Callithrix jacchus: one gene and its partners. The protein of the gene in region 1 purifies or fractionates together with the protein of each later gene. This does not show direct contact. Links are inferred from orthologs where the notes say so. Each region holds a gene or a part of one and is shown in the gene's direction. Other genes may lie near its edges.

Evidence for each region.
Region 2: the proteins of EBNA1BP2 (region 1) and NOP2 fractionate together in Homo sapiens (co-fractionation; 3 studies listed by BioGRID and IntAct, with this or other methods). This does not show direct contact. The link is inferred for Callithrix jacchus from reciprocal best matches to the Homo sapiens genes EBNA1BP2 and NOP2.
Region 3: the proteins of EBNA1BP2 (region 1) and BRIX1 purify together in Homo sapiens (affinity purification with mass spectrometry; 4 studies listed by BioGRID and IntAct, counting the BioPlex papers as one, with this or other methods). This does not show direct contact. The link is inferred for Callithrix jacchus from reciprocal best matches to the Homo sapiens genes EBNA1BP2 and BRIX1.

What each region holds. Positions count from the first base shown.
Region 1 is NC_133508.1:79,827,797-79,838,532, reverse strand, and holds the end of EBNA1BP2 (putative rRNA-processing protein EBP2), read left to right. Parts: intron 1-11; coding exon 12-184; intron 185-1,058; coding exon 1,059-1,182; intron 1,183-2,883; coding exon 2,884-2,973; intron 2,974-4,638; coding exon 4,639-4,714; intron 4,715-4,950; coding exon 4,951-5,044; intron 5,045-7,297; coding exon 7,298-7,460; intron 7,461-7,610; coding exon 7,611-7,661; 3' UTR 7,662-7,792; downstream 7,793-10,736. UniProt on the Homo sapiens protein: Required for the processing of the 27S pre-rRNA.
Region 2 is NC_133510.1:20,747,912-20,758,647, reverse strand, and holds part of NOP2 (28S rRNA (cytosine(4447)-C(5))-methyltransferase), read left to right. Parts: intron 1-1,207; coding exon 1,208-1,253; intron 1,254-1,412; coding exon 1,413-1,501; intron 1,502-1,688; coding exon 1,689-1,921; intron 1,922-4,131; coding exon 4,132-4,187; intron 4,188-4,307; coding exon 4,308-4,461; intron 4,462-4,559; coding exon 4,560-4,757; intron 4,758-4,896; coding exon 4,897-4,986; intron 4,987-6,084; coding exon 6,085-6,172; intron 6,173-6,251; coding exon 6,252-6,413; intron 6,414-6,976; coding exon 6,977-7,116; intron 7,117-7,259; coding exon 7,260-7,349; intron 7,350-7,466; coding exon 7,467-7,589; intron 7,590-7,712; coding exon 7,713-7,941; intron 7,942-10,736. UniProt on the Homo sapiens protein: S-adenosyl-L-methionine-dependent methyltransferase that specifically methylates the C(5) position of cytosine 4447 in 28S rRNA. Required for efficient rRNA processing and 60S ribosomal subunit biogenesis.
Region 3 is NC_133503.1:170,705,903-170,716,738, reverse strand, and holds the start of BRIX1 (ribosome biogenesis protein BRX1 homolog), read left to right. Parts: upstream 1-4,109; 5' UTR 4,110-4,133; coding exon 4,134-4,292; intron 4,293-6,993; coding exon 6,994-7,105; intron 7,106-8,724; coding exon 8,725-8,768; intron 8,769-10,752; coding exon 10,753-10,823; intron 10,824-10,836. Other genes in the region: cell cycle checkpoint protein RAD1, read right to left, coding at 1-216, 1,562-1,670, 3,060-3,257. UniProt on the Homo sapiens protein: Required for biogenesis of the 60S ribosomal subunit.

The sequences.
Region 1 (10,736 bases):
GGATTTCCTAGAATGGCCTGAAGCAGTGTTTGGCAGAGTTCAAGCGGGATCTGGAATGGGTTGAAAGGCTCGATGTGACACTGGGTCCGGTGCCGGAGATCGGTGAATCTGAGGCGCCAACACTTCAGAACAAGGACCAGAAAGCTGTTGATCCAGAAGACGACTTCCAGCGGGAGATGAGTTTGTATGTTTGTTTTAAAATGTTGGAGAAGTTGAGTATTCTTACGCAGGAGAGTGAGAAAGAGGAGAAATTAATAAACCTGCACTCAGAAGAGGCAGAAGAGTAGGGAGAATGGCTTCTTTTGACTGAGAGTAGCTAGGAGATTCTCCCTGTTTGAGAAAAGAGCTCCTTGGTCCATGGTCACGATTCAAAGTCCAGTTTATGGGCTAATTTGAAATACTCATGTTAAAGTTTTTTGTGCATGCTTCAGTTATTAGAAAAAAAAAACCATTGCTTATGGGATGTTCTTGTGTGGAATTGCTTTAGTAATTACATTAAGAATCCATAGTTGACATTAGTTTGTTAATGGGTACCTTTAGAGTAGTCATTCTCTAAAACTAATTTATTTTTAGCAACATCCGTCCCCTTTTTAAAAAATGGTATATGGCTACATTTATTTCTTTCGAGATAGAGTCTCGCTCTGTCGCCCAGCCTTGAGTGCAGTGGTGTAATCTTGGCTCACTGCAACCTCTGCCTCCCAGGTTCAAGCAATTCTCCTGCCTCAGCTTCCTGAGTTGCTGGGATTACAGGTGCCCACCACCACGCCTGGCTAATTTTTGTATTTTTAGTAGGAACGGTGTTTCACCATGTTGGTCAGGGTTGTCTCGAACTGCTGGCCTCGTTGTCTACCCGCCTCAGCCTCCCAAAGTGCTGGGATCACAGGCATGAGCCACCGTGCCCGGCCTATGTTTCTTTTAGATACTAAATTAGTGAAGTTTGGTTACGGTTTTTGTTTGTTTGTTCTTGCTGATGGAGGTCAGATTTTGAGAGTCCGGTGAAAAGGAACGTAAGGCCCTTTTCCTTCACTTCATTACACCTTTTGTCCTACAATTCTCAGCTACCGCCAAGCCCAGGCTGCAGTGCTTGCAGTCTTACCCCGCCTCCATCAGCTCAAAGTTCCTACCAAGCGGCCCACTGATTATTTTGCAGAAATGGCCAAGTCTGATCTGCAGATGCAGAAGGTAAGAAATAGAAATTTTCCTCTAGAAAGCCAAAATTTTGTACTTAAGCATATTCAGCTGGCTTAGAAAGATAGGTATGGGTCCAATAATGGGGAGCCGTTGTCAGAGAACAATTATTACCTCTTCCAGAGATGGGCTACTTCAGAGTCATGCCAGTTACCACCAATTAGATGCATATAAGAATGACATTTTTTCTAAAATCAGCAATTATGGAGCGGAACAGTACTGTGAGAAGTGTGGTTCCTGAGATAAAGATGGCCCATTGCATTTCCTAGCTGGCTTGGTCATGGCATGGTGTGCAGAGAAGACAACATTCTTGTTGTACCTTTGCCACTGACAGTGCTAGAACTTGTAGACAATTACTTTTCTCTGGGCCTCAGTTTTCTCCTCTATAAAATGAGGGATTCTTAGATGCTCAGATGTAGTACAGTAAAGAGTTGGGTAGAACTTGGACCTCATTTAACTTTGGAGGAGGGGATTGCCAAAATGTAATCCAAGATATACTCGGCCCTCCATAGCCATGGGTTTGCATCTGTGAATTCAACCAAACTCGGATCAAAAATATTTGGTAAAAAAATTGAAAATGTTTCAAAAAGAAAACTTGAATTTGCCATGTGCTGAGAACTACATTGAATCCATGAGAATGAGGTGATGCGTAGCATTGTATTCGGTATGATAAGTAATCTAGAGACTATTTAAAGCAGAGTCTGGCAACCAAGGACTGGTTTTGTGGATGAAACTGGTCTGGAGGAGGGGATGGTTTCAGGATGAAACTGTTCCACCTTAGATCATCAGGCATTAGATTCTCATAAGGAGCATGCAACCTAGATCCCTTGCATGCACAGTTCACATTAGAGTTCATGCTCTTATAAGAATGTAATGCTGCCACTGATCTGGCAGGAGGTGGAGCTCAGGTGGTAGTGCTTGCTTGCCCACGAGTCACTTCCTCCAGTGCAGCCCAGTTCCTAACAGGCCACAGATTCATAGCACATTCATAGCAGTCTGTGGTCCAGGGATTGAGGTCCCCTGATTTAAAGTATACTGGAGGTAAGTGTAGGTTGTATGCAAATGCTACACCATTTCTATATAAGGGACTTGAGCATCTGTAAATTTTGTTGTCCATAGTGGATCCTGTAACTAATCCTCTACGGATACTGAGGGATGACTGTATTTAATTAGTACCCTTGGGTCTCATGCTGGATTTTAGGGAGCTTTTGTCTTGGTAGTAGTTCCCCTTCTCGCTGTGAACTCTGTATTCGTTCTCACTGACAACTTCTCATCCTTTAACTAAAATGTGTATGTTTGACTGAAAAGGCTAGGTACCTGATAATCTGCCTGGGTTTTTATTGTATATGTGGTATACCACAAAAGAGTGCTCAGGCTGCATACTGGTTTCCAGCTTCAGTCTACTGACAGTAGAAGTGAGGAGAAATTTGTCTTCTTTCCTGGACTTCAAATAGGCAGTTTGTATAATGAAACAGACAGCACACTGGGAGTGGGAAGGTGACTTTCCATCTCTGGCTTCACTGTGACACTTTTGGTAAAGTGTTCAACCTTTGGGCCACGTTGTCCTCAGGGGTTGGAATCAATGATTTATGAGTTCCACAGTTTTAGGGAATATCTGTTCCCTGCTCTAGTGCATCCTAAGCAGTGGTCATTCCAGATTCAAATACCATAAACTGACAGCATTTTGTGTTGTAGATTCGACAGAAGCTGCAGACTAAACAGGCTGCCATGGAGAAGTCTGAAAAGGCTAAGCAGCTGCGAGCACTTAGGAAATACGGGAAGAAGGTGAGAAGGAAAGTGTGCAGGGAATAGGAAGAGGCGGAGCCTGTGTGTTTGATGAGATTGCTGTGCTCTGACTTGGTCCCCTGAACTGAACTGTGTGTTGATCATGTGTTTACCATCTCTCGGTGTATGTGCTGGTATTCATGAGCACCATCTTGCCTGGACATGAGCGCTTCACCAGGAGTAGCATGGTGACTGCAGGCGAGCCATTCACTTCTCTGGGCTTTAATTTAAATTTTCAGATGAGCGGTTTCCAAACCTGACTTTATAGCAAAATCACCAGGGCAAATTTTTCAAAACAGAATTCTAGACTTCACAATCCCTGGGAATCTGTGCATGTTTCCCCCTCTTCCCCGAAAACTTTCCAGGTGATTCTGAAATGCATCCCGGTTTGGGATTCACTGGCCTGTGTGATAATCAGTCCCTGAAGAGGTTATTTTAATGATTGTCACCCAATCTGAAAGATTGCCTGTGTGTTTGAACTATGAACGTCTGAGTTCTTATGTAACACCAGATCAGGCATACTTTTCTTGGTTTTCCTTTTTTATTTCATGGTCATCTAAGAAAGAAGATGATGGGTTTTAAAGTTAGAATTATGGGAAGAAATGAATGTGAGGAAGATGGGCGTGGGTGTTGAGACTTTGTCAGCATTCGGACATAAGCATTTGTGATCTGGGCTGCAGAACTCTTGTCCACATGTGGGGTCGTTTCACTGATGCATTCTGAACAAAGTAAGAATAGGCCGGGATCCTGTCTCTACAAAGGGCCTGCCACGGATTTATTATTTCTTTGATCTGGAGGCAGATGGCTGAGATTATCTTAAAGACACCAATAATTAATTTAACCTAACCAAAGTTATTAAAAGCAAAGACAAACTCACTTGGGCCTATTAGTTCACTGTTTCTACTTTGAGGAAACATTGAGGAAGAGATTGTCAGCTGGGGTGAATTTGCTCCCCAGGAGTTTTCTGTCACTGCCTGAAGGTATGTTTAGTTGTCAAATGTGGGAGGGAGGGTGCTACTGGCATCTACAGGTAGAGGGCAAGGGTGCTGCTGAATGTCCCACAGTGCAGGACAGGCCCCTCCCCCCAGCAGTCTGTCCACAGTGTAGCAGTATCAAGATTGAGAAACTCTGTTAGAGTATTATAAAGTTTCTCCTTTTATTCTTAAAACCTTTTTCTTTTCTTTACCTGGGGACATTGTTTTTTTCTCTTCCTTTTGGTACTTTCATGCCTAGTAACAGTAAGTTAGATAGTTAATCTGTCCAAATATGATGGGAAAAATTGGATGTCGGCTTAAACATGATTTGCTGCAGTTTAGTAGGGAGGATTCTATAATAGAGTGAATGCTGGCTTTGGAGGCAAACAGCTTGGGTCATCTCAGCTGTGCACTTTTTCACTGTGCAACTTGGGCAGGTTAAATTCTGCGTGTTTCAGTTTAGGGGATAACACAAATTTCAACTTCACTGGATTGTTATGAAATAGATATATCTTCGTCTATGAAGAATATACCTAGATCTGAGAATATACTTAGAGCCCTTAACATAGTTTTTGGCACATAGTAAATGTCAAAGGGTAGCAGTATTAATCATGGTGTTGCTATTAAGAGAATGTGGACACTGGAGTAATGGTGTGGAATGGCTGTAACTGTCCTGGTGTTCATATCACAGGTGCAAACAGAGGTTCTTCAGAAGAGGCAGCAGGAGAAAGCACATATGATGAACGCTATTAAGAAATATCAGAAAGGTTGGTACCTCTCTCTGCTGGGGGAACAAGGGTAGCAGGTACTTTAGAGTTGATCTGAGCACTTAGTGCTTTGGAGCCTTCTTGGTTGATGTGGACCTATCGGATCTAAGTTTTGGAAATGGTGTTGGGGAGCAGGATGTCACTTTTAAAATCAGTGTGGCAAATAACAGCTTTATATGGTGGTTTCAACTTTTAAAATACAATGGTGCTGATCAGAACTGCTTCTTCACTTACAGGCTTCTCTGATAAACTGGATTTCCTTGAGGGAGATCAGAAACCCCCAACACAGGGCAAGAAGGCAGGAGCCAAAGGCCAGCAGATGAAGAAGGGGTGAGAAGTATTTTGGTATGGTTTCTTTGGTTCTGGGAGGTGCTGTGGGGCCATAGGTCACGAAGATGACAGGCGTAGCACCCCTACTGGCTCAGCTGTGAGTCCAGAGAATGCAGCTGCTGCCTGTGGCCAAGACTCCTAGCACTGTGTGATGGGTAATTTTAGCCATGTCAGTCTTTGAGGCATAAAAGAAGGCCCTTTTTAAACTTGTTTTTTTTTAAGACAGAGTTTAACTCTGTCACCTGGGCTGCAGTGCAGTGGTACAGTCTTGGCTCACTGCAACCTCTGCCACCTGGGTTTAAGTGATTCTTGTGCCTCAGCCTCCTGAGTATCAGGGACTACAGGCGCCCACCACCACACCCAGCTAATTTTTGTATTTTTAGTAGAGACAGGATTTCACCACGTTGGCCAGGCTGGTCTTGAACTCCTGGGCTCAAGTGATTTGCCTACCTCAGCCTCCCAAAGTGCTGAGATTATAGGCGTGACCACTGCACCCAGCCTAAGAAGGTACATTTAAGTATGTGGTACTCTTTAAGTAGATGCTGAGTAAAAGTTGAGTCCCCATCACACGGTGTGATGGTTGAGAGTTCAGGCCTAGGACTCAGACCCTGGCTCTGCCACTTAGTAGTAGGGCAGTTTTGAACAAGTTACCATACCTTTCTAAGTGCTAATTGCCTCATCTGCTAAGTTGAGGAAAGAGTATCTGCCTCATAGTATGAAGATTGAAAGAAGAATGCAGGCTCTTCAGTGTTTTGCATACCTGGATACCAGGCCTAGGGGAAATGATCATTTCCGTGTAAGGTAGTAAGTGCTATCTATGATAGAGGCATTTGGGGAGTAGTATTGAGGCAGCTTTTAGAAATACCTGATATGGGCTGGGCATGGTGGCTCATGCCTATAATCCCAGCACTTTGGGAGTCTGAGGTGGGCAGATCACCTGAGGTCAAGAGTTGGAGACCAGCTTGGCCAATATAGCGAAACTCTGTCTCTACTAAAAATACAAAAAATTAGCCAGGTGTGTGGTGGGCACTTGTAATCTCAGCTACTAAGGAGGCCAAGGCAGGAGAATCGCTTGAACCCAGGAGGAGAAGGTTGCAGTGAGCCAAGATCATGCCATTGCACTCTAGCCTGGGCAACAAGAGGGAAACTCTGCCTCAAAAAAAAAAAAAAAAAAATACCTGACAGGGTCTGGAGATGGATTTCTGGATTTCTGGAGGAGGGTTTGACTTGAGCATTGCCTGAAGCGTGAGTAAGAATTAACCACAAGAATAGGAGAGAAGCTGGGTTTGGGAAGAAGGAAGAGCTTGAAAGAGCAAAGCCATAGAGATGTGAAACCTCAGGGTTTTGTGAGGAACAGTAAGCCCTTGGTGTCACTGGGACTACAGTGCAAGGCAAGGAGGGGTGCGATGTGGCTTGGGAGACCTGCGCTGTTGGTTTGCCTTGTTGAGGAGCTTGGGGTTTGTCCAGAAGGCAGTGGGGAGACTAGGTTATAGGTTGTACTGACAATAATGAGCAAGTCATAGTCATGCTTTTAAAAAGATTACAGTGGATTTTGTATAAGTGAGGGACTTGAGGGAAGCTGGGAAATTGACAAGGAGACTAGTCCAGATGTGCAATGATAATAACCTGAAAGTGGCAACTGAGGGAGAAGAGAAGATGGACTGCAGGAACATTTAAGAGGTGAAATGAGCAGGACTCAGCAATTGAATTGGGTATAAAGTGAGAGAAGAACCAAGGCAGACTCCCACATGTTAGCCTGTGTGTCTGGGTTGGCAGGACCTGTGCCAGTCTCAAGTGAGCTCATATATACAGGAAGTAGAGCCAGTGCAGGAGGTGATGTGAATTTGGGGATGCTGAATTTGAGATCCCTATTGGATGACCTGTATTACATTTAATGTTAACTGCATATATTTACCCTTAAGAGGAATAGACACAACTGAGGATGATTTAACAAGATTTAGTTAAAATAGAAAGCTTTCCAAAGACACTAGGAAGCCACATGATGCATGTGGAGCCTTCCCTGCTTCTTGCTTTATTTTCCTGCCCTGGTGGTTAGAACTGTAAATAGTTGAGCTAGACGAGTGTATCTCGAGGGGCTGTAGCATAGGATTGTGGGGCCAAGGATGAGATTCTGGGTCACAGTAGTGCCTAAGGGGCTTTGCTCATAGAAAGAAAACTAAGAGTATTGCTGGGCCATCAGATTCATCAGACTTAACAGTGCTGCGGGTGATGTCTACGAACATTCTTTTCCAGGCCCAGTGCTAAACGACGGTATAAAAACCAGAAGTTTGGTTTTGGTGGAAAGAAGAAAGGCTCAAAGTGGAACACTCGGGAGAGCTATGATGATATATCTAGCTTCCGGGCCAAGACAGCTCATGGCAGAGGCCTCAAGAGGCCTGGCAAGAAAGGATCAAATGTAAGTGAGCCCAGGTGCCTGGGTGAAGAGCAGGCTCAGCCTCCCCATCCCACTTCCAACCCTCCCCTTTCCCTTCTCTTCTGTTCATCCTCACCCTCGGGCAGAAGGCAAGCTGCTATGTGACCAGATGTGGTATTTCTTTTTTTGTAGAAGAGACCTGGAAAACGAACAAGAGAGAAGATGAAGAACAGAACGCACTGAACAGCATCTTTGAATACAAAGAACCAAGAAAAAGGAATGAAGACTTTGCAGTTTCACAGCACATTTTTATCCCTTCTGTTGGTATCATGTTGTAAACGTTTCTTTCAATAAACTAAAAAAAATTACTAAACGAACACATACCTTTTGGTAAAATAGTCCAGACTAAAAGATTTAGATATTAAATGACATTGCTATCTATTTAGACATTGAGTTCAGATTGCCTTTATGTTATGATAAATGATGATTTAACTGACACCTCCCTCATTTCCTTTGCCTCATCCTTCTAAATAGTGATATTACAGTCAGTCCCTGTAGAGCTCAGTGCATTGTGGTAAGATTTCCTTTGTGGTACAGCTTTTGGCTTTTCCTCCAGTTAATCTTCACCTTGCATTCTTCTGCTTGCCTAATCTTCCTTCTGTATTCTTATATTCTTCGTTCTTTCCAGATGCTTTGTCATTTTACCCACTGTATAATTTTTCTCCTATAACCTAGATATGCCACACAACTGTCACCTTTTTTCTGGACCTTCTAAGTTGGCATCATTATTTCCAGAATCCCATATTTTCCCATCTTGGCATATGCTGCTTTTTCTGTGTACCATTTTTTAGTATCTTACTAAGAAAAGGAAGATGAGAGGTAAACTTTTTATCTCCTTGCATTTCTGAAATTGCCTTTAATTTGGCTGATAGGAATTTCCTCCTTAGAATTTTGCAGGCACTGTTTCTAGGTTTTTTTCAGTTCTAATTTGGGGGAGAGAGATTTCTTTATTTTTTAAAATATTTATTTACTTATATATTTTTTGAGACATAGTCTTACTCCATCGCCCAGGCTGGAATACAGTGACACAATCTTGGCTCACTAGAACCTCCGCTTCCTGGGTTCAAGTGATTCTGCCTCAGCCTCCTGAGTAGCTGGGATTACAGGCATGTGCCACCATGCCCGGCTAATTTTTGTATTTTTAGTAGCTACAGGGTTTCGCCATGTTGGCCAGCCTGGTGTTGAACTCCTGACCTCAACTGATCCACCTGCCTCTGCTTCCCAAAGTGCGGGGGTTACAGGCGTGAGCCACTGCGCCCAGCCTACATTCATTTTATTGAATATGTATTTTAGCTTTCATTTATCCCCCAAGAGTTCCTTATTCTCTAATTGGTCATTTTTCATATTTTACTCATTGTCTGGATGCAGTATCTTATATCTCTCAGGATATGATTATAGTTTTAATTTTTTGATAAAGTTACCCTCTGTTTCTGCAGCCCATGCATTTTGATCTCGCCTTTCCCATGTTTGAACAGTAAAGTATTGTAAAAGTTAAGAAGCGTGGATTCTGGGGCCTGACTCTGTTACTTACTTGCTGTTTGACCGTAGGGATTTTAACATTTGCTTTGTCATCTCTGGCATAAATATAGATGTATCTACTTCATTGGGTTCCCATCAGCATTAAGTTAATCAACGTAAAACATTTAGAACATTGCCTGCCATATAATTAGAACATTATCTTAATGTGGTGTAATCTGATAATCCTCTCATATTCCTTTGATTAGGGTTATCTTGCTGGGGTTTCTTAATATCTGGCGAGCCTTGGTTGTTCATATTTGAGAAGTACTAGCATCAATGGAAGCTCTGTGTAGGTGGTACATTGTGTAGGCAGGCCATATTGATTGTTGGGCTTTTACTCTGTGTTGTTAGGATGGTAAGCCGTTTTACCTGCCCATTCTCTCTCCGTTCCAGTTTAGAAACCATACTTTATTTTTAAGGTAGTTAGAAATGCTTGAGAGCCATATAGTATCTTAAGCAGAAAGGATAACTTATTTTCACATTTTCTTCTTGTAGCATTATTGGCACATAAAAAAGGATATTTCTGGATTCATTTGCTAAGATTGTGATGTAGAACAAAGAGAATAATATGTTATTTCGCACATTCACAGCAAAGTGTGTAGTTGTGTGGCTTCTTTGTCTTTAGCAATAAACTGATGGGCATTTTACAGAAGTAGATACCTGAGAGGGAACTGACCACCAGGGATGAATGTATACCAAAGAAACAAAAGAATAGGCACAGTGGCTCATGCTTGTAATCCCAGCACTTTGGGAGACCAGTTGAGCCCAGGAGTTTGAGACCAGCCTAGGCAGCACAGTGAAACCTGTCTACAAAAACTTTTTAAAACTTGGCCGGGCATTGATGGTACGCGCTTGTAGTCCAAGCTACTGGGGAGGCTGAGGTGGGACAATCTCTTGAGCCTGGGAGTTTGAGGCTGCAGTGAGCCATGTTTGGCTCTGCACTCCAGCCTGGGTGATAGAGTGAGAACCTGTCTTAAAAAAAATTTTTTTTTTTAAATTATAAGGCTGGAAGTAAAATTTGAGTGCAATGGAAATGGAATTGTAGGTGAAATAGCTGATGTTGGACTGTGAGTGCTGTTGCCATTCTAGAGACTAGATATATAGCCAGGTAAACCTTGTGAAGGCAAACTTACAAATGAGGAAAGAGATGGAAAGGATGAAGATGTCTCCAGGGAGTGACACTAATGAAAAACTTCACATTAAAGGGACTCTTGGAGATACCTAATGACATTGGAAGATCAAGTGATAAAATGCTAGAACCGAATCCAAACTTAGGAGTAAAGACAATTTGCCAAGGAATGGAAAAGATGCTTGTTCTATATCGTAAGTTAGAGAAGGAGAAAAAGAAGCATATTTTTTCATTCAGAAACAAAACCCTTGATTCTCAATGTTTCTACTGTCTTAGTCTACTAAATATTAGTATTTTTTGTTATGCATTGAACAGAGTTTTTAATACTTTCACACAATTTTTTTCATTGTTCAGTTTTTGTTTCTAAGGCTTAAAGATTCATACTCTTTAAAAGGACTTTTGGACACATTTTTTAAAGGTCACAGAACAATTGTAATTTTCCCCCAACGATTATTAAGATCACTTTGCATAGTTTCAGCAAGCAGGACATTTTTGTGGTCCTGCACTACTGTGCAAAGTGAAGACTTGACTACATGCACTTTTTTAGTTGAGTGTACAAAGTAACAGCTTTCTCTTTTTTGGGCAGAGTTGGGAAGAAGATGAAAGCAGAA
Region 2 (10,736 bases), on another chromosome or scaffold:
CTGTTTAGGTCATAGAGAAGATGTGACATGGACACAACTATTCCTGCAAAGAAAAGTGCGATTTAAAACATTGTGGGTTCAGAGGAAGGGAGATCCTATGCAGAACTGTAAAAGTTTTTGTTAAAATGGGTTTTGAAAAATGGGTAACATTGTAGTAAGAGAAGTAGCGAAAGGGGAGGGGTCGGTCAATGACTTGCCTTTTGGAAGGTATGGAAATGGAAAAGCATGGATCTGGCTTCTCCATGCCGATCCGTCTGCTGTGTGGAAGACTGGACTGGGAGTTTGTGTTGGGCAGTGGATAAAGGATGCAGTTTATTGAGATGGTACCAAATCCTGGACACTATTGAACTTGTTGGTTATGTTATATCACTTCATCGTCTTAGAGTCCTGTGAGAGAGGCACTATTAAGGAAGTGGATGCTGAGACGTTAAGAAACTCGTATAGCCAGGTATGGTGGCTCACGCCTGTAATCCCAGCGCTTTGGGAGGCCGAGGAAGATGAATCACCTGAGGTCAGGTATTCGAGATCAGCCTGGCCAACATGGTGAAACCCGGTCTCTACTAAAAATACAAAATTGTGGTGTCTCAGGCCTGTAGTCCCACATACTTGGGAGGCTGAGGTAAGAGAATCTCTTGAACCAGGGAGATGGATGTTGTAGTGAGCCGAGATTGCTCTATTGCACTCCAACTTGGGAGACAAGAGTGAAACTCCATTTCAAAAAAAAAAAAACTGGTATACAGCTATTATATAATGATAGGGCTGAAATTCAAATGGCCTCCCTTTAATTAGGGTACTAATTCTCTTACCACTTTTATTTTCATTCCCGTTTTTGTTTTTTATTTACTTTTATTTATTTATTTTTTTTGAGATGGAGTCTTGCTCTGTCGGAGTGTGGGTTATAATGCAGTGGTGTGATCTTGGCTCACTGCAACCTCCGCCTCCCAGGTTCAAGCAATTCTCCTGCCTCAGCCTCCCGAGTAGCTGGGACTACAGGCGCATGCCACCATGCCTAGCTAATTTTTGTATTTTTAGTAGAGACAGGGTTTCACCATGTTGGCCAGGATGGTCTTGATCTCTTGACCTCGTGATCTGCACGCCTTGGCCTCCCAAAGCGTTGGCATTACAGGCATGAGGCGCCGCACCCAGCCCTCCTTTACTTTTAATGTCTCCTGTAACTTATTCTGCCTCATTTTTCTTTTTTAAACAGTAAGTGATGAAAATTCCAAGAGGTTGTCTAGTCGTGCTCGAAAGAGGTAAGTGTGGGTATCAAGACTTCAGTAGGTTAAATTGGTACTGCTCATCTTTGACCACAGAGTTAATTGTGGACTCTCATATTTCCCCGTGGTGGAAATGGCAGAGCCTGGAAGTATCTTCCCATTTCTTCACTCCTTGTATCTCTTGTATATTTTCAGAGCAGCCAAGAGGAGGTTTGGCTCTGCTGAAGCCCCTGAGACAAATAAGTCTCCTGAGGCCAAGCTGTTGCCTGGAAAGCTACCACAAGGTCAGTGAAACTAAGAGCTGGATGCTACATGTGGAGTCCTCTGGGTCCTGGGTAGGGAAGGACTTGCTGAACATTTCTAGAAAGGAACAGCCAAAGGACATTCTGAGGAGTAGAAAGTACAGGCTCCTAGGGTGTGGGGCCAGGGAATGTGTGGCTGCCATTAGTTCAGAACTCTTCAAACCCTTAGGGATCTCTGCAGGAGCTGTCCAGACAGCTGATAAGAAGGGAACCCAGTCCCTATTTAATGCTGCTCGAGGCAAGAAGCGCCCAGCACCTAGCAGTGATGAGGAAGAGGAAGACTCTGAAGAAGATGGTGTGGTGAACCACGGGGACCTCTGGGGCTCCGAGGACAGTGATGCTGGTATGGTAGATGACTATGGAGCTGACTCCAACTCTGAGAATGAGGAGGAAGGTGAAGAGGTGAGATTCATCTCTCGGGGCATTCAGAGAAGGTCCTTTCCATTTAGTTTTTTTCTAGATTTTTGAGACTATTTTTTAGTGACAAGGATAAGCCCGATTAGAGGAAAGCAATTTTTGTGCTCCATCACTGTTTCCCTACTGCCTTACATCCTCTCCCAGTGCACCTACAAGTTTGAAACTGCTGTGGATAGAGCATTTAAAAAAATCTGGAAGGCTCTGCTGATGTGGATGTGGGAAGGTGGACAATGGTATGTTCCACCGACGGGAATAGACATGTAGGCACTGTTTTTATAAAGCAGTTAACTCAGAACTTTGAAAAATGTGTTCCGGCCGGGCGTGGTGGTTCAAGCCTGTAATCCCAGCACTTTGGGAGGCCAAGGTGGGTGGATCACGAGGTCAACAGATCGAGACCATCCTGGTCAACATGGTGAAACCCCGTCTCTACTAAAAATACAAAAAATTAGCTGGGCATGGTGGCACGTGCCTGTAATCCCAGCTACTCAGGAGGCTGAGGCAGGAGAATTGCCTGAACCCAGGAGGCGGAGGTTGCGGTGAGCCGAGATCGCGCCATTGCACTCCAGCCTGGGTAACAAGAGTGAAACTCCGTCTCAAAAAAAAAGAAAAGAAAAGAAAAATGTGTTCCTTTTGGCTGGGTATGGTGGCTCACATCTATAATCCCGCACTTTGGGAGGTTAAAGCAGGAGGATTTCTTGAGACCAGGAGTTGGAGACTAGCTTGGACAACATAGAGTGAACCTGTATCTACAAAAAATTTTAAAAATTGGCCGAGTGCAGTGGCTCACACCTGTAATCCTAGCACTTTCGGAAGCTGGGTGGATCACCTGAGCTCAGGAGTTCGAGACCAGCCTGGGCAACAAAATGAGACTCAAAAAAAAAATAGCTGGTGTGGTGGCATACGCCTGTAGTCCCAGCTACTCAGGAGGCTGAGGCGGGAAGATGACTGGAGCTTGGGAGGTTAAGGATGCAGTGACCTACGATCTTTACTGCACTCCAGCCTGGATGACAGAGTGATACTGTCTCAGAAAAAAACAAAACAAAACTGAATCCTTTTGACATAGTAATTCCCTGTTAAGGAAGATGACCCAAAATGTAGGCAAAGAGTTATTTACTGAGGTGTGCAGGAAATTATTATAAAATTAGTGTGCGAATGTATTATTAGAATTGTATAGAATAAAAAAAGTTTCCATGTGCACCCTTTCCTGCAACGCCTTATATCTACAGAGTCACTATGAGGTTTGCAGGCACCATGTTGATCATGATGGCAGAAACTCTGGAAACTTCCAAAATATACAATCTGCTTAAGTATATTCATGCATATGATGTAGTTAACACTGGTCATTATGTCTGTGAAAATGCTTGTGATCTAACTGAAGTATCAAAAGCAAGAAACAAACTTGAAAATGCATTATGTGAAAAATATAGAGTAAGTCTGGAAAAAATATGGCAAAATGGTGGCCAAGGGCAATTTTTTGTCTTTTTTTTTTTTTTTTTTTTTGCAACCTCTGTTTCCCGAGTTCAAACGATTCTCCTGTCTCGGCCTTCTGAGTAGCTGGGACTACAGGTGTGTACCACTACGTCCGGCTAATTTTTTGTATTTTTAGTAGAGACAGGGTTTCATCGTGTTAGCAGGATGGTCTTGATCTCCTGACCTCATGATCCGCCTGCCTTGCCTCAGCCTCCCAAATGATGGGATGACAGTTGTGAGCCACCATGCCTGTCCTTGTCCCTTTTTATACATACAGGTATTTGTATTTCAAGTTTTTTTTTCTGAATGGAAAAGTGAAAAACATAGGAGTAGAAAAAAAAAGTGTAATTACCGATTTAATTCATTACTTAGTTTTTGTTTTTTTTTTTGAGATGGAGTCTTGCTCGGTCGCTCAGGCTAGAGTGCAGTGGCTCAATCCCAGCTCACTGCAACCTCCACCTGCTGGGTTCAAGCAATTCTCCTGCCTCAGCCTCCCAAGTAGCTGGGATTATAGATGTGTGCCACCACGCCTGGCTAATTCATTACTTAGTTTCAACAGTGGTCAGTATTGTACCAATCTTATGTTCATTTCTTTGCTTCTCTATTTCCTTCTGAGAGCAAGTGTCAACATTTTTATTTAGCAGAAAAAATAAGATACAGAGATAGAAAGTGCTTCATGGGCTGATGGAAAGGCAGGCCTGTGTTAACAACCCTTGTCTCTTCAGTTGCTGCCCATTGAAAAAGCTGCTCGGAAGCAGAAGGCCCGGGAAGCTGCTGCTGGGTGAGTTTTGGAAGCAATTGGGATGGAGCATAGGCAGCAGCTGGGGTGGGGGAAGCCGTGAGGAAGGAGGAGGTGTTTGTTTTGGTTTGTGAATCACTCTGTTCCTGGACCTATTTCTAGAGTCCAGTGGAGTGAAGAGGAGACAGAGGATGAAGAGGAAGAAGTGACCTCTGAGTCAGGCCCCCCAAAGGAGGAGGAGGCAGATGGGGGCCTGCAGATCAATGTGGATGAGGAGCCGTTTGTGCTGCCCCCTGCTGGGGAGATGGAGCAGGATATCCTTGCAGGGCAGAGTGAGCAGTAGGAGGAAGGTGCTTAGTAGAGCTATTTCCAGGCCCTAGGACATCATGACACAGTTCCTTAACAGGCCCACATGCCCAGGCTCCAGACCTGCAACGAGTTCACAAGCGGATCCAGGATATCGTGGGAATCCTGCGTGATTTTGGGGCTCAGCGGGAAGAAGGGCGGTCTCGTTCTGAATACCTGAATCGGCTCAAGAAGGACCTGGCCACTTACTATTCCTATGGAGACTTCCTGCTTGGCAAGCTCATGGACCTCTTCCCTCTGTCTGAGGTACTAGATTGCCAGAATGCCCCCTTTGCTTTTCTTTCTCACCACCTTACCTGTGTAAGGAAGATGTTCAAGCCTCCTTGTCTCCCTCTGACTGAGCTCCTTATCCAGCCTCACTTATTCCCTGCTGTCTTTCCCGAAGCTGGTGGAGTTCTTAGAAGCTAATGAGGTGCCTCGGCCCGTCACCCTCCGGACCAATACCTTGAAAACCCGACGCCGAGACCTTGCCCAGGTAAGGGGTGGCTTTTGAGGTTTGCTCACCTCAGAAGGGGACTGACTTCTGCCAACTCCAGAGGTTCCCCTATGCCACCCTGACTGGGTGGGGCCTTAGGACCTAAGCAAGATCCTGGGAGGCAAACCCAGAGGCCTGGTGTCTCTGACAGGCTAGGGGCCTAGGACCTCTGGGAAATGGGAAGTTCATCCCTCCATCCGGCTTTTGCTTCCTGTGACTGGGATGAGTGTGCTGCCTCCCAAGGAAGTTGGAAGATCATTGAGGAGCTGGGGAAACATAATTCCTCACTGCAAAAAAAAGACATATACACATATGCACACTCAGTATTTTGAACTCATTTCCAAGGGTTCAGGGGCCCGAGATTAAAGACCCCCTGTTCTGAAGTCAACTGTTTGGTTATATGTGTTGTATATCTTGGTGTGAAGAAAACCTAATAATGTTATATGCTGTAACCAATATTAAATTTTTTGGATGGGGGAGGGGCTCAGCCTCTTAGAAAATCAGATGCCACTTCCAGGAAATAAAGTAATAGGAGGTGGCATCCTGCTCCGTTGGAATGAAGTTCAGACCTTGAGTTAGGAGCCTGAGGTTAAGAAAAAAGGGCACCATAGGATGGGGTGAGAGAGAGAAACTGCTTGATGAGTCCATGATAACTGTGTTCTCAGTAAGCACTCTAGGAGTTGTGGGGCCATGGGCCGTGTTCTTATGAACCATGTTTTTAATGTCTTTATCTGTTTTCTGGGTAGAGTAGCCTATGAGGTTATTAAAATCTTCATCCTGGTCTGGCGCGGTGGCTCACGCCTGTTATCCCAGCACTTTGGGAGGCCAAGGCAGGCGGATCACCTGAGGTCAGGAGTTCGAGACCAGCCTGGCCAACAAGGTGAAACCCTATCTCTATGAAAAATACAAAAATTAGCCTGACGTGGTGGTGCATACTTTTAGTTCCAGCTACTTGGTAGTCTGAGGCACGAGGAAGAATCGCTTGAATCCAGGAGGTAGAGGTTGCTGTGAGCTGAGATTGTGCCACTGCACTCTAGCCTGGGCAACAGAGTGAGACTCTGTCTCAAAAAAGAAAAAAAAATCTTCATTCCCCTTCAGACTCTAATCAATCGTGGGGTTAACCTGGATCCCCTGGGCAAGTGGTCAAAGACTGGACTAGTGGTATATGATTCTTCTGTGCCCATTGGTAAGTCTCCTGTACCCAAGAGCCCTTCCACCTCTGTTCCTGTCCCTACTGCATGTCACAGGGTGGTCCTTCTCCACAGGTGCTACCCCCGAGTACCTGGCTGGGCACTACATGCTGCAGGGAGCTTCTAGCATGTTGCCTGTCATGGCCTTGGCACCCCAGGAACATGAGCGGATCCTGGACATGTGTTCTGCCCCTGGAGGAAAGACCAGCTACATTGGTAGGAGAGAGGGGCAGACAGGTGGGATTCACTGGGCTCTCTTGCTTTTGAAAGTAGATGGGGTTGCTGACTCACTAGGGCTCACAGAGTGCAGTGTACAGGCAGCCAGCAGAGTGAGGAGCAGTTTCTGGAGTCGGCCTGGATTCCAGTGCCGGTGTGCCACTTACTACTCATCTGACTATGGGTTCTCTTTTGTCATCCGTAAAATGGGATGGTAATTGTGCTCGGGTCGGCCCTTGTATTATGCTTGGATTGTGAGTGTTAAGACGATGCATTTGGAAGTCCTTGGCAGTGTTCAGCACATAATCAGTAGTCATAACTTTTATTAAGCTGCTATCACTGAAAAGAAATAATTTAGTATGTACCAGACAGGTGTTCAGTAAAAATAGGAAAACCACATCGGTAGACTTGCCAACCACCAGGGGCTAGTGCAGAGTGGATCAGCCTATCCAGTGGGCTGGCTTGTTGGGAGTGAAGTTGCCGAGGTGATGACGCTTCTCATGTGGATTCCCAGGCAGGAGGGTGGGAGCAAGTGTGGAGACAGCAGAACCGGCTGATAAGCACTGTTACTGCCCTCCCTTTAGCTCAGCTGATGAAGAACACGGGTGTGATCCTTGCCAATGACGCCAATGCTGAGCGGCTCAAGAGTGTTGTGGGCAACTTGCACCGGCTGGGAGTCACCAACACTGTTATCAGCCATTACGATGGGCGCCAGTTCCCCAAGGTGAGACTTGAGCAGTGTCTCTCCGGAGGCTTCTTCCACTTTACCTTCTCCCTTCCTGACCTCAGTGTTTAGATTTGACCCTAGTAAATAGTGCACTGCCGGTTTCAGAAGAGACATCTGATTCATCTGTATCTTTTCCCCAGGTGGTGGGAGGCTTTGACCGAGTACTGCTGGATGCTCCCTGCAGTGGCACTGGGGTCATCTCCAAGGACCCAGCTGTGAAGACTAACAAGGTGAGCAGTCGGGTCGTGGGCCCCTGAGAGGCCTTGGCTGGGTCTTATAGAGCTGGAAAGAGGGGTGGGGACTCTCCTCCCCTCCTGAGGCTACCTTTGGGTCTCCTTTTGGGACAGGATGAGAAGGACATTCTGCGCTGTGCTCACCTCCAGAAGGAGCTGCTCCTGAGTGCTATTGACTCTGTCAATGCCACCTCCAAGACAGGAGGCTACCTCGTTTACTGCACCTGTTCTATCATGGTGAGACTCGCCATGGCAGAGCCAGGGAGGCTGGGCTGGGAGGGCTCTTTGCCCATTAGAGCTCCCTTCAGCTCCAGCTCTGCTTTTTCCTCCCTTCTGTCTTTGTCTTCCCCTCGCATCCAGGTGGAAGAGAATGAGTGGGTGGTTGACTACGCTCTCAAAAAGCGGAATGTGCGGCTGGTGCCCACAGGCCTAGACTTTGGCCAGGAAGGTTTTACCCGCTTTCGAGAAAGGCGCTTCCACCCCAGTCTGCGTTCTACCCGACGCTTCTACCCTCATACCCACAATATGGATGGTTTCTTTATTGCCAAGTTCAAGAAATTCTCCAATTCTATCCCCCAGTTGCAGACAGGTAAGTGATGTTTTTCTACCCTTCACCACTGTTGCTCTTTCCACCTTTCAGGAGGCTTTATGGAGTGACAGAAGGGAAGGGAAAGGAAAGATTCATGCACCCCTTACTCCAGCCTTTGCATGCTTGGATGAGAGAAGCCTTTCATTCCGGCTAGAATTGTTTTTGATTGCAGGGTCCGTGTGAATAGGTTAAAGTGTTCATTAGGATGGAGGCCTTTTCCTGTATTCTGCCGAGTGGCTGCAGTTGTTCAGCACTAAATGCATTCCAAATGCAGGTTGTGGTTTTCTTTTCCTTCTTGGCACAGGGTTGACTTACTGGTACTGTGCCTCTGCTGGTCCAGCATTCTCAGCACTGGGTTGGAACGGAGCTCCACAGAACTGTCAGCAGTTCTCTGAGCCCATCACACTCATTGCAGATTGTTGTCTCAGCCATCTCGAGGAGTCTGTCCTGGATCTCAAGGGAAGGGTGGGGTTTTCTGAAACAGCCTTAAGAGCGCTGCTGGCCAGGTGCGGTGGCTCACGCCTGTAATCCCAGCACTTCGGGAGGCCGAGCGGGCAGATCATGAGGTCAAGAAATCGAGACCATCCAGGTCAACATGGTGAAACCCCGTCTCTACTAAAAAATACAAAAATTAGCTGGGCGTGGTGGCACATGCCTGTAGTTCCAGCTATTCAGGAGGCTAAGGCAGGAGAATTGCTTGAACCTGGGAGGCGGAGGTTGCAGTGAGCTGAGATTGTGCCACTGCACTCCAGCCTGGTGCCTGGTGACAGAGTGAGACTCTGTGTCTCAAAAAAAAAAAAAAAAAAACCAAAAAATAAAAAGAGTGCTGCTTACTGGGATATATCTGGGTTTAGTTGGAAGAGGGAGAGAAAAGATACTTCATAAACAGTAGAATTTGTCTGGGCGTGATGGCTCATGCCTGGAATCCCAGCACTTTGGGCGGCCAAGGCAGGGAGATCACCTGAGGTCAGGAGTTTGACATGGTGAAACCCTGTCTCTACTAAAAATACAAGAATCAGCCGGGCATGGTGACCTGTGCCTGTAGTCCCAGATACTCGGGAGGCTAAGGCAGGAGAATTGCTTGAACCTGGGAGGTGGAGGTTGGAGTGAGATCCCGCTATTGCATTCCAGCCTGTGTCTCAAAAAAAGAAAAGAGAAAATAAAATTTGCTATAACTTAAAAAGTACAGAAAATGTTAGTCCTTGTTGATGTTTTCCTAGCTTGTCTCTGGTGGTTGTGGGTATCCTTTCTAATTATCCTGCACTTCATCACAATCTACATGGAAAAAACTTCTCTGATTTAAAAAATAAATAGGCTAGGTATGGCAGTGGCTCATGCCTGTAATTCCCAGTACTTTGGGAGGCTGAGGCAGTAGGATCACTTAAGACCACGAATTCGAGACCTGTCTGGGCAACATAGGGAGACTTTGTCTATAGTTCCAGTTACTCTGGAGGCTGAGGCAGGAGGATCCCTTGAGCCCCAGGAATTTGAGGTTGCAGTGAGCTGTGATGGCACCACTGCATCCCAGCCTAAGCAACACAGTGATACCCTGCCTCAAAAAACAAAACAAAACAAAAAACTACTCTGTCTCTACTAAATAAAAAAAAAAAAGGTAAATTAAAAAGTAAGTTAGGCCGGGTGCAGTGGCTCATGCCTGTAATCCTAGCACTTTGGGAGGCTGAGGTGGGTGGATCACCTGAGGTCAGGAGTTTGAGACTAGCCTGACCAACATGGAAAAACCCCATCTACTAAAAATACGAAATTAGCCAGGTGTGATGATGCATGCCTGTAATCCCAGCTACTCAGGAGGCTGAGGCAGGAGGATTGCTTGAACCTGGGAGGCGGAGGTTGTGGTGAGCCAAGATTGCACCATTGCACTCCAGCCTGGGCAACAGGAGTGAAACCCCATCTCAAAAAATAAAAATAAAAAATAAGTAAGTAAATAAAGCCTAGTGCTTCAGATTCGTTCAGAATTCTCTGTGAGGCTGGGCGCAGTGGCTCACACCTGTAACTCTAGCAGTTTGTGAGGCTAAGGCAGGTGGATCCCTTCAGGTCAGGAGTTTGAGACCAGCCTGGTCAACATGGTGAAACCCTGTCTTTACTAAAAATACAAAAATTAGCCAGCCGTTGTGGCACATACTTGTTCAGTAGGCTGAGGTGGGAGAATCACTTGAACCCAGGAGGCAGAGGTTGCAGTGAGCCGAGGTCACACCACTGCCCTCCAGCCTGGGCGACAGAGCAAGACTCCTCAAAAAAAATAAAAATAAAAAACCAAACCCTGAGATTCATCTCTTCCTTACAGCATTCTGTTACTTCATGTTCTCAAGGGGGCGCAGCTTCCTGTAAAAATCTTTTGGCCCAGTTTGGCCCCAGCTCTGCCTGTAATCCTAGCACTTTGGGAGCCCAAGGTGGGCAGATCACCTGAGGTCGGGAGTTCAAGACCTCCCTGACCAAAATGGAGAAACCTGTCTCTACTAAAAATACAAAATTAGCTGGGAGTGGTGGTGCAATCCTGTAATCCCAGCTACTTGGAGTCTGAGGCAGGAGAATCACTTGAACCTGGGAGGTAGAGACTGTGCTGAGCCAAGATCGTGCCATTGCACTTCAGCCTGGGCAACAAGAGCACAAACAAATAACCTTTTGGCTCAAGGATAGGCAGTGATCTCTTGATCTCTTTTTTTTTTTTTTTTGAGACTGAGTCTTGCTCTGTCACCCAGGCTAGAATGCAGTGGTACAGTCTCAGCACACTGCAACCTCCGCCTTCCAGGTTCAACCAATTCTTGTGCCTCAGACTC
Region 3 (10,836 bases), on another chromosome or scaffold:
CACTCGTCATATCCAATTCAGAAAATGCTTCACGGAGTCCCTCTGACTGCAGAATAATTTTATTAATAACATTGGTGCTGCAGAAGTCAAAGTCCAGGGTCTCCTCAGGTTCCTGCGTATTGATTTTGCAGACTGTTACCACCCCTCCTTCTTCTAGGAACAGCATCAAAGGGTAACCATCACCTTGGTAACACATCCGAAGAGCAGTTAAAGTCCCTGCAATGGAAAGAAATCATACTTGGCCTTAGCTTTATAGCTCTGGGTTCAGCTTCTCCTCAAAATGATATAAAATTTCTCAAGAATAATTCATTCCACCAAATTTCTCGCATATACGTATCTCCTCATAAAAAGGGATTATATCTTCCCTGATGACAGTTGTATGTAGACAATTCCAAACATACAAGAAAATTGGGAACCAGAACAAAATGTAACGTAACTCTCTGGTATCATTTTCAGGTTGTCATAAATACCTCAGAAATAGCTTGATTTTATATACATAAATTTCAGGATAGAGAATCTACATGGATCAACACAGCAAGTAACCAAATTGCCGCAGAACACAGTATGCTATTTCTTGAAGGTTCAATGTGTGTAACAGTGGACTGCTATGTGTACTGTAATGTCAGTGTATTCACTCTTATAAGGATCCTTCCAACTTTTCCAACTCAGATATTCTTTATATTTTTTCAAATTTCAAAATTAAATTGAGACAAAAAGAGGGTTGTTAATAGTGGTGTAAATTCTAACACTGCAAACCATTAGGGGAAGGAGGAATGTGATAGGATATTCAAATTCCTCCTTACTGCATGGAGAGCCACAGTGAGGAATGGAAGATGACAGATTCTTTCATGAAAAACCAGCTGGAGAACACGGTATTAGAAAATGTATAGTTAGTTAATAACAGTGGAATTGTCAGTAGAAAATTAAAATACATTTTTCTGGAGAACTATATTGGAGAACTATATTGAATTTTTCCTAATCTCCAGGTTGCTTTCCTATGAAATAAAATCATTCTTCTGGGGATTCCTGACAGTTTTAGACCCACAGCAACTAAATTTCACCATTCTTAAAAATAATTCCCTTAAGAAAAAATATGTTTAAAAAAATCATTTGGCAAAATAGACATAACTTATAAAATATGGCTTGAAAGAAACAAATTTTGAACACAGTACAAACTAGGAGTCAGTAGAACCGGCTTCTGTTTTTCCCTGCCACTAACTAGCTGAGTAATTCTGGACAAGTTAGGGAAAAGAAGCAATTACGTTTCACAATGTTAAAGATATTTAAGACATGCCCAAAGCATTCTTTTGGCCAGTTCAGATTTAAATTCCCTCAAAGCCTTGTAAATTAAAAAAAGACAAATGTTAATACTTTTACAAAGGAAAGAACTATAAACACACTTGCAATTAACATTGGGAAAAGTTAGAACCCATGACTGTGGCCAATGAAAAATGAATTGGCAATAACTTTCTGAACAAATGTTTATATTCCAAATAAATTCCTGAATTTTTCTGTCCATTGTATATAACACTTTTATGTCCTTCTACTGATAATAGTTTACCTGGCATAGGACTTGATCCAAAAATAGATAAACAGTCTAAAAGGACAGTTAAATTAATTCGAAACGTAACAGATTCTTCCTGAACTTTAAACTCCTGAAATATTCCAGCCTATGAAAAAAGTAAAAATGAAAATGGTTACACAAAAGAATGAAAACTAATACATAAGGTCCTAGATTTCACTTTATATGTTTAAAAAATACAATACTGTGCTAATCCCACGAGAATAATTTCTCATTAGCAATCAAAACATCCTAGAGACATCCTTGTGAAGCATCCTTATCTCCATTCCTGGATCTAAAACTATCCCTCTGTGACTACCCCTTGTCTCATTTTTGTGCCTATCACTACTGCTTAGGTCACTTGGAAAATACACAAACGACTTGGTAACGCATGAACAATATTAGTTTCAACTTTTTTTTTTTTGAGACAGAGTTTTGCTCGTTACCCAGGCTGGAGTGCAATGGCGCCATCTCGCCTCACCACAACCTCCGCCTCCTGGGTTCAGGCAATTCTCCTGCCTCAGCCTCCTGAGTAGCTGGGATTACAGGCACGCGCCACCGTGCCCAGCTAATTTTTTGTATTTTTAGTAGAGACGGGGTTTCACCATGTTGACCAGGATAGTCTCGATCTCTTGACCTTGTGATCCACCCGCCTCGGCCTCCCAAAGTGCTGGGATTACAGGCGTGAGCCACCGTGTCCGGCCTAGTTTCAACTTTTATTATTATTTTTTATTGATATGGGGGTCTCACTATGGTTGACCAGGCTGGAGCAATCTTCCCATCTCTGCCTCAGCCTTCTGAGCAGCTGGGAATACAGGTGTGAACCACTATACCATGTCCTGCATGAGGGCAAGAACCATGTCTTATTTACCTTTCTATCCCTGACGTCATGCTGTGCACTTAGGTGTTAAAAAACGCTTAGTTGAATTTGCAATCCTATCTTAACCATACAAATATTACTCTGGAAGAATAAAAATTCTACTACAACCAGTAAAGGAAAAAATACTCTTTAGTAATAGCAAGGTGGTAGTATCGCAGTGGTAAAGAGCATATATTCTGGAAACAAATGTTCAGGGTTCTTATCCCAATTCAGCCACTTAACAGCTGTGGGGCTGCTGGCAAATCACTTAAATTGTGCCTCGTTTCTACATATACAAAATGGAAATAATAACAGAACCTACCTTACAGGACTACTGTTAAGATTAAGTAAGTTAAATACTAAGAGGAGTGCCTAGCTAATAGTCTAGCTTTTTAGTCATTACTAACCATTATCTCTGTAAAACAAGATGGGAAAAAAAATTTGTTACCAGGAGAGAAAAAAAAACTCAAGTAAAGGCGTTTTGTTCTCTGACTTAAGACTATACAGCTATTTATTCATATACTATTTATTCAGGACTATTGACTATAAAGTCATTTATTGTCTACTAAAACCTTCAGATTTCATTAAACTGCATTTAGAATATCTATGGCACAGGCTTAAAGGCACATATTTCCATACCTGAATAAAAGCATTTGCCTGCACACACTTTGCATTTTCCACAGTTACTTTGATTCCATTTTTAGTTGCAAAACATGTGGCATGTTCTCGGAAATGAATAGCTTTCAAGATAGTGGAGAGATTCCTAACGTTGTCAAGGCTGGCCACGAGGCTGTACTGATCATCATCGTCTTGGATCTGTTGGGTCAGAAGGGGCATTGTCCGCTGCACATTCGGCCCCGAGGGATGCTTCTGGGGCCAACACCTGCTCCCGCGGATCGCGAAATACCTGAAGGGATTGGACAATAAAACTCCCATCAGTGCTGGCGAGGTCTGGCGAGCTCCACCTGCGCTGAGAAATGGAAGGGGATTGGGCAGCTGAACTTGGCTGACCAGGCCGAACCCCACCGATGCCACTTAACTGTCTTTGTAACTCTGGGAGAAAATTTTCTAAGCTACGGTTTCCTCATCTCCGTAAGGGGACAATAACGTGAAAAGTTGTGAAGAATGAAGACACGCAACTGACACGGTATCTCCGCTTGGGGCCAGCTTATCCCGGCCAAACAGGAGCTACGAATCCCTACGGAGTCGGTTTTGTGTCGCCCGCGCCGCAAGCCTCGCCTCCAACGCAACAGGCGATGGGGGGGGGGGGGGCGGGCTCGGAGTGCCCAGAAGATCCCCCAAGGGTCCCAGACAAGCCCATTCACCAGCTCGCCCGCTGGACAGCATCACTTACTACTCTCAGTCCTCGAGTGCTGACACCCTACCTTTGCAGTGGGGTCTGGACGCCCGAGAGCCCTTCCCGGCAAAGTCCCTGAGGAGTAGCAAGGCGGCTCCGAAAAACCGCGGAAGAAGGGAAGCGGGTCCCGACACTTTTCAGCTCGGCCCTCCACCTCGGCCACCGTCACCATGGAGCGGAACGAATCCTAGAGAGCCAAGCGTGCAGCGCCTCCAAGACCGGAAGCAGGCAGGCACCACCGAGCTGGAGGACGACCGCTGAACCGAGCGCTTAGAGCCGCCGAACCATAGAGATCGGAAAAGGGTGCGAGCGGCAACACCGGAAAGAAGGCCAAAGAGCGCAGGCGGCGAGACAAGATGGCGGCAACCAAGAGGAAACGGCGTGGAGGCTTGGCAGTTCAGGCGAAGAAACCGAAAAGAAACGAGAAAGATGCCGAACCGCCAGCTAAGCCTCGAGCTACTGCAGAGGAGGTGGAGGAAGAAGAGAGAAACCGGATCCCAGGCCCCGTTTGCAAGGTAGAAGGGTTACACCAACAGCCGCGGCTCTGTGCGCCTTTTCTTGGGGGTTCTGACTACAGCTCTACTAATTTTAGAATAGCTCGGGTGTTGACCGTAGGTCGGTTTTAGCAGTTCTCCCGGCCATACTGGACACGGAGTTTATAGCTAATTCTTGTGCACTTGGCCGCCCTCCTGGGGGCAGCGGGTTTTAGAACCTTTAGCCGGCCCACGGGGAAGCGACTGACAGGGTGCTCAGATCCAGCGTTGTCTTCCTAGTTGTTCAATTATTTTTGGAGGGTGGTGCTTTTCCTTGGTTATTTCTCGCTTTTGAGTATTTCTTCCAGTGATTAGTATTCCTATATACGGCCGAAGTCAGCTGCTGTCAGGCAGGGATCCTGAAGCTTGTTAGGTGAGCCTTTAAAAAGTTGTTGGCCTTGGGACTGTGAGTTGTTAACTAGGTCTTTAACTCAAGGGATAATGAAAGATAGTCCAGATACTTTGAGCTTTACCTGTATTGAACAGACATTGAATGTGCCACGCATTGTTCCAAGTTAAGCTTCCTTTGGCAAAGATTGCAAAGGTGACTAGAATGTGACCTCTTCCTCCTGAAATGTTGGAGTTCAGGAGGAAACTTAAGTCAGAGAAGTTGGTGGTTTTTATTCGAAAGAAGTGCACGCAAGTTGTTTCAGTTAACTTTCATTCAACTAAGAACTATTCTTAAGCTACACAGTATACTGTGGAGACAAGGATTATCTTTGACATTAATTTCTCTGTCCTCTGCACTTAGCATAGTACACTCTAGTACGGAGTAGGTGATAAGTAAATGACTCCATGTGGTGTGATGGTGAGTGAGCTCTGAGGAATGATAAGTGTGGGGGCCGGGCGCGGTGGCTCACGCCTGTAATCCCAGCACTTTGGGAGGCCGAGGCGGGTGGATCACGAGGTCAAGTGATCGAGACCATCCTGGTCAACATGGTGAAACCCCGTCTCTACTAAAAATACAAAAAAATTAGCTGGGCACGGTGGCGCGTGCCTGTAATCCCAGCTACTCAGGAGGCTGAGGCAGGAGAATTGCCTGAACCCAGGAGGCGGAGGTTGTGGTGAGGCGAGATGGCGCCATTGCACTCCAGCCTGGGTAACGAGCGAAACTCCATCTCAAAAAAAAAAAAGAAAGTAAGTGTAAATTCTAGGATCGTTATTAACAGCAACATTCTGTGCTCTTTTCTGACCTGCAGATTAGGTGGGAGTGGGAGTGGGAGGGTGGGGGGAGGGAATACTTACTTTTTATGAAAAATAAGCTGGACTTGTACACTTTCAATAAATGTTAGTGCTCTCTTCGCTCAAGGCGTTAGTTTCTATAATCTGAGCCATACTTTAATACATTCTGTGGAAATGCAGGAGATTGAGATTACTTTTACCCTAGTATAATAAGATAAAGAATCTGGAAGGATTTAGATTTAACCTTTAAGCTGCATATCAGAGGAACCGGAGAATTTTGGCATTCAAAAACGAGAGGGAACACTCCAAGGGAGAGAAAAAAGAACTGATGAAAGACTTTGAGGTAGGGAAATGCTGAAAAATGTAAAAAATAGAACCAGATTGGATTGCATTAGGCTTGATTTGGGGCAGTAATGATGTAAAAATGAAAATTTATTTTCCAATTCAGTGTCAAAGCTATGTCATTCAGATTTTGTTTAGAAAACTCTGGGAAGTAAGGATGTGATTGAAGTATTTAAAAAGTAAGCTGTTGAAAAAGCTACTCAACCATATCTGTTGGAGAAGCTCATGTCTGGGATGGTTAGTCATTGAGGAGTTTTGTGGTTCATATAAGGCACTAAATAAGTGCAGTGTGAATAAGAAAGGATTAAGAATTGTTGAAAAGAGAAATTGATAGCATTTTATAGTGCTTATGATGAGATGGGAGAAACAGGGCAAATCGAAGATTCAAACCTTGAGGGACTGAAGTGACAGCATCCAAAAAAAAAAAAAAAAAAAAAGGAAAAGAAAGAAAATGAAATAGCAAGGAAATGCACCAGATTTAAGAGGTCTAAGAAAATGTTTAGTATTGTAGAGTTGAGTTTGAGGTGTTAATGAAATACTTGGATTATTAGGGCTAGAGAGAGTTCCCTTCTGTAGAGTGGACAAAAATTAAAGTTGTGGGAAGTTATTATGAGACCTGGCATAGAGAGCACAGAAAAGAGAGGGCTAAGCAAGAACTTTAAGGGTTAGGAAGAGGAATTGGAGAAATCGAAGATGAAAAAGAAGAAAGAAACCAAGGAGGGCATTTCTGGGTGGCAGATGTGGTCAGTGAATGTTGCTGAGAGATGGATTAAAGGAGTCAGCATGGTTTGACTTGCTACCTGGAAGCTCTTGAAAAACAAACAGGGCCAGGTGTGGTGGCTCTCACCTATAATTCCAGCACTTTGGAGGCCAAGCTGCTTGAGCCCAGGAGTTGGGAACCAGACTGGGCAACACAGGGAGACCCCCGTCTTTACAAAAAAATTAAATTAGCTGGGCATGATGTGACATACCTGTAATCTGCAGCTACTGCGGATGCTGAGGTAGGAGGATAACTTGAGCCCAGGAACGTGAAACTGCAGTGAGCTGTTAGCCTGCATCTCTGCATTTCAGCCTGGGCAACTGCATGAGACCCTCTCTCAAAAATAAGGTCAGTTCAGTATGAGATTTTAAAATCTTTTAACATTTTCTCTTTCTTTAGGGCAAATGGAAAAATAAGGAACGGATTCTCATCTTTTCTTCCAGAGGGATAAATTTCAGAACAAGACATTTAATGCAGGACTTGAGAAGGTTGATGCCTCATTCTAAAGCAGGTACCTTTATATCATATACTTTAGAAATTTCTATCTATAAACTCACCTATTTATATGTTGATACTTATTTTATATATTCTTCATTTGTTCAGTCTTTTCAGGAAAAAAACACAATACCTTTTATCCTTTCAAGTGCCACAATTTTTCCAGTTAACATTTTATTAGAAATTCTTTAGACTTCATTAGGTAGTTTCTTTACTTTTTCAAACAGATATCCTGATATTATTGAAATATTTCTTGAAGGTCCAGGAATGCCTTTATTGTAATGCTCCTAAAGGTCATGACATAGGTGGGATTGTTTGTCCTAAATGATTCAGGACTACAATGTGTTACTTTTTAAGCTTTTTTTTTTTTAAACTATTTTTATTGAGAAATGGACGTGGGATAGAATTTGAAGCATCTTTTAAGTCAGAGCCTATTTCTAAATGCCAAGTTATTTATTTATTTTTAAGCAATGGGTTATTTTATAGGCACAAACAGTATGGCCAGGCATGGTGACTCATTGCCTGTAATCCCAGCATTTTGGAGGCCGAGGTGGGTGGAACACTTAAGTTCAGGATTCCAGACCATCCTGGGCAACATGGTAAAACCCTGTATCTACAAAATAAAAAAATGAAAAAAGTAAAGTAGCCAGGTGTGGGGGCCACCCACATGCAGTCCCAGCTATACAGGAGTCTAAAGCTGGAGGATTACTGGAATCAGGAGGTCATGGCTGCCATGGGCCATGATTGTGCCACAACACTTCAGCATGGGCGATGAGCAAGACCCTGTCTTAAAAAAAAAAAATAAAAAGTTTATAACAGTGGAGTGGCAGCGCCATCATATGGCTGTTGTGCTTATGTTGAGAGGTGCTTTGGGTTTTTTGTTTTTTGTTTTTTAATTTTTAAAATCGGGGAGTATCTGTGCAGGTTTGTTACGAGGACAGTCTGTCTTCTTTGATACCTATGATTAAAAAGTGAAAGATATTTTCACTGAAACTGGTTTCCTTTAACATAGTCTTTGGTTTGTGAGAATTTTTCCATTTTTGAAAAGGTTTCCTAGAATACCTAAAGACTGAGAAACACTGCTTAAACTGTAATTTATAATTCTTGCAGACTATTTTTTACTTATTTTCTTTACAGTGACAAAGAATTAAGATTTTTTATTTTTAATTTTTATTTTATTTATTTATTTATTTTTGAGACGGAGTTTTGCTCTTGTTAACCCAGGCTGGAGTGCAGTGGCACGATCTCGGCTCATCGCAACCTCTGCCTCCTGGGTTCAGGCAATTCTCATGCCTCAGCTTCGCGAGTAGCTGGGATTACAGGCGTGCGCCACCATGCCCAGCTAATTTTTTTGTATTTTTAGTAGAGACAGGGTTTCACCATGTTGACCAGGATGGTCTCAATCTCTTGACCTCATGATCCACCTGCCTCGGGCTCCCAAAGTGCTGGGATTACAGGCGCCCGGCCAGAATTAAGATTTTTTAAGTGATTGTTTTCAGGTCTTGTTTTGAAAATTAATAATAAAAATCTCCTTTAAACTGAAGAGTGTAAAAACAATTTCTAGATAGCATATGTGGTTTGATTGAAGTAACTTTGAAATCACCTTTAATTTACTTGCTTTTTCTTTTTTTCTAGATACTAAAATGGATCGTAAGGATAAGCTATTTGTGATTAACGAGGTAATTTTGGAAAGTAATTGCAATAAAATATTTTAGAAACACTAACAATTGCTTATTTCAAAAATAAGTCATGCAGTGACTTTAAAAATTGTTTTGTAAAAGCTCTTCAGACACATTTTATTATCTCTTCAATAACTGGGTCTTTCAAATTTTTATATCTCACAGTTCTTCACACATTTCTGTTTGTCTTGTTTGAACAAGCATATTGAATTTCCTCAGGACAATGATTGTATCCCATTTCCTAATCCCGTAGTGTCTAGTATTATGCCAAATCCCAAGTAGATACTCAAAAAATTATCAGTTGACATATATAAAGTAAAATTAAAAGTCCATTAAACATATAAATATGAAAACCCACATGGGAAAACACATTTTGCTAGTATTAAAAGTGATTCATGTGGAATTGGCACTTAAGCCATTACAAACTAGGAATAGGTTACATTTTTGAAGTATTTTTTAACATACTACACTCATGTATTTTTTTTTAAGCTCTAGAAGCACAGCACATAAATTTACATTTTAAAGCAAAATGTTCAAAACTTAGAAGAATTAAGATAGTTTTTTCACTATTAGAAAGCCTTCTTTAGAGTACAAACTTTAGAATCTCTGCTGTAATCCCACACTATTCCATGTGCTGTAGAAACTGCTTAACAGAGCAATGTTCCTGTCCTTATGGAACTTACATTTAAATGGAGACAGGCCATAAACAAGGTTTATAATTTCAATTAAAGGTAGGAGAAATAAAGGAGGTTATAGGTTTTCGACAGCTCAGGCTAGACCAGAAAAACATTTTCTAAGGGATGATGTTTAACTTAATATAGAGAAAATGGCAACTACAAAGGCCCAGAAGTGGCACAAACTTCCCATTTTTGTGTTTATTTAAGACCAGTAAGAAACAAAAGCATTGGACCTAAGATTCTTTTTTAAGTTGTTAGGGTTTATTTGTTTGTTTTAAATATTTTGGAGACAAAGTGTCGCTCTCCTGCCCAGGCTGGTGTGAAGTGGTGTGATGTCAGCTCACTGCAACCTCTGCCTCCCAGGTTCAAGTAATTCTCCTGACTTAGGCTCCCTAGTAGATGGGACTACAGGCACATGCCACTATGCCCAGTTAATTTCTTGTATTTTTAGTAGAGACAGGGCTTTGCTCTATTGCCCAGGCTGGTCTCCAGCTCCTGAGCTTAGTTCATCTGCCTCAGCCTCCCTAAGTGCTGGGAGTACAGCCATGAGCCACTTCGTCCAGCCATAAGTTGTTAGGTTTAAAGTCTGAAATATGGAGTTTATGAGTATTATATTATTTAGAGTTTATGAATACTATAGCAGTAAAAGACTTCATTCCTGTAACGTTTCTGTATTTTTCTCAATTGTGACTTTGTAAACCTTCAGGACCTTGAAGTTTAATTTGAAATAGGTTTTATATAGACTTTTTACCCAATCTCTTAGTGATTTTATAGAAACAAATCACCAGAAATGGTAGTATAAATGAAGAACAGCTTAAGTTTTGTGATCTTAAAATCAAAAAGCTAAAAAGTTAAAAATCTAAATAATCATTAAAAATGATGTTTTTAGTTCTATAAGGATCTGGATTTTCATAAGATTGGCTAAGAAGATTGATTATGAAGGATTAGCATAAGAGGATTAATTGTGGTATGCCTTATCCCTAGGGCAACTATTTTCAGTCTTCATGGTTTGTACATGGGACTATGGGCAGAAGAGGTTCCCAGTAATCAGAAGTGAGACCATTTTAGATACTAGGCCCAAAAATGTGATAGATATTTCACCCAAGAGATGGGCAGAGCATCTAGTTCACCTTGGGCAGAATACCTCAGAGGAACTTTAAAGCTTCCTTCTATGAAGAAATAAATGCTTAGGCCTGTTAACCTAGTTAGATATTTTTGAGGGAATCTAGATGATATTAATCACGTCTAATTACTTTAGTTCTCATTTATATTATATACTTAATTTTCCTATACTTTGCTTCATTTAGGTTTGTGAAATGAAAAACTGTAATAAATGCATCTATTTTGAAGCTAAGAAAAAACAGGATCTCTATATGTGGTAAGAGAATGTA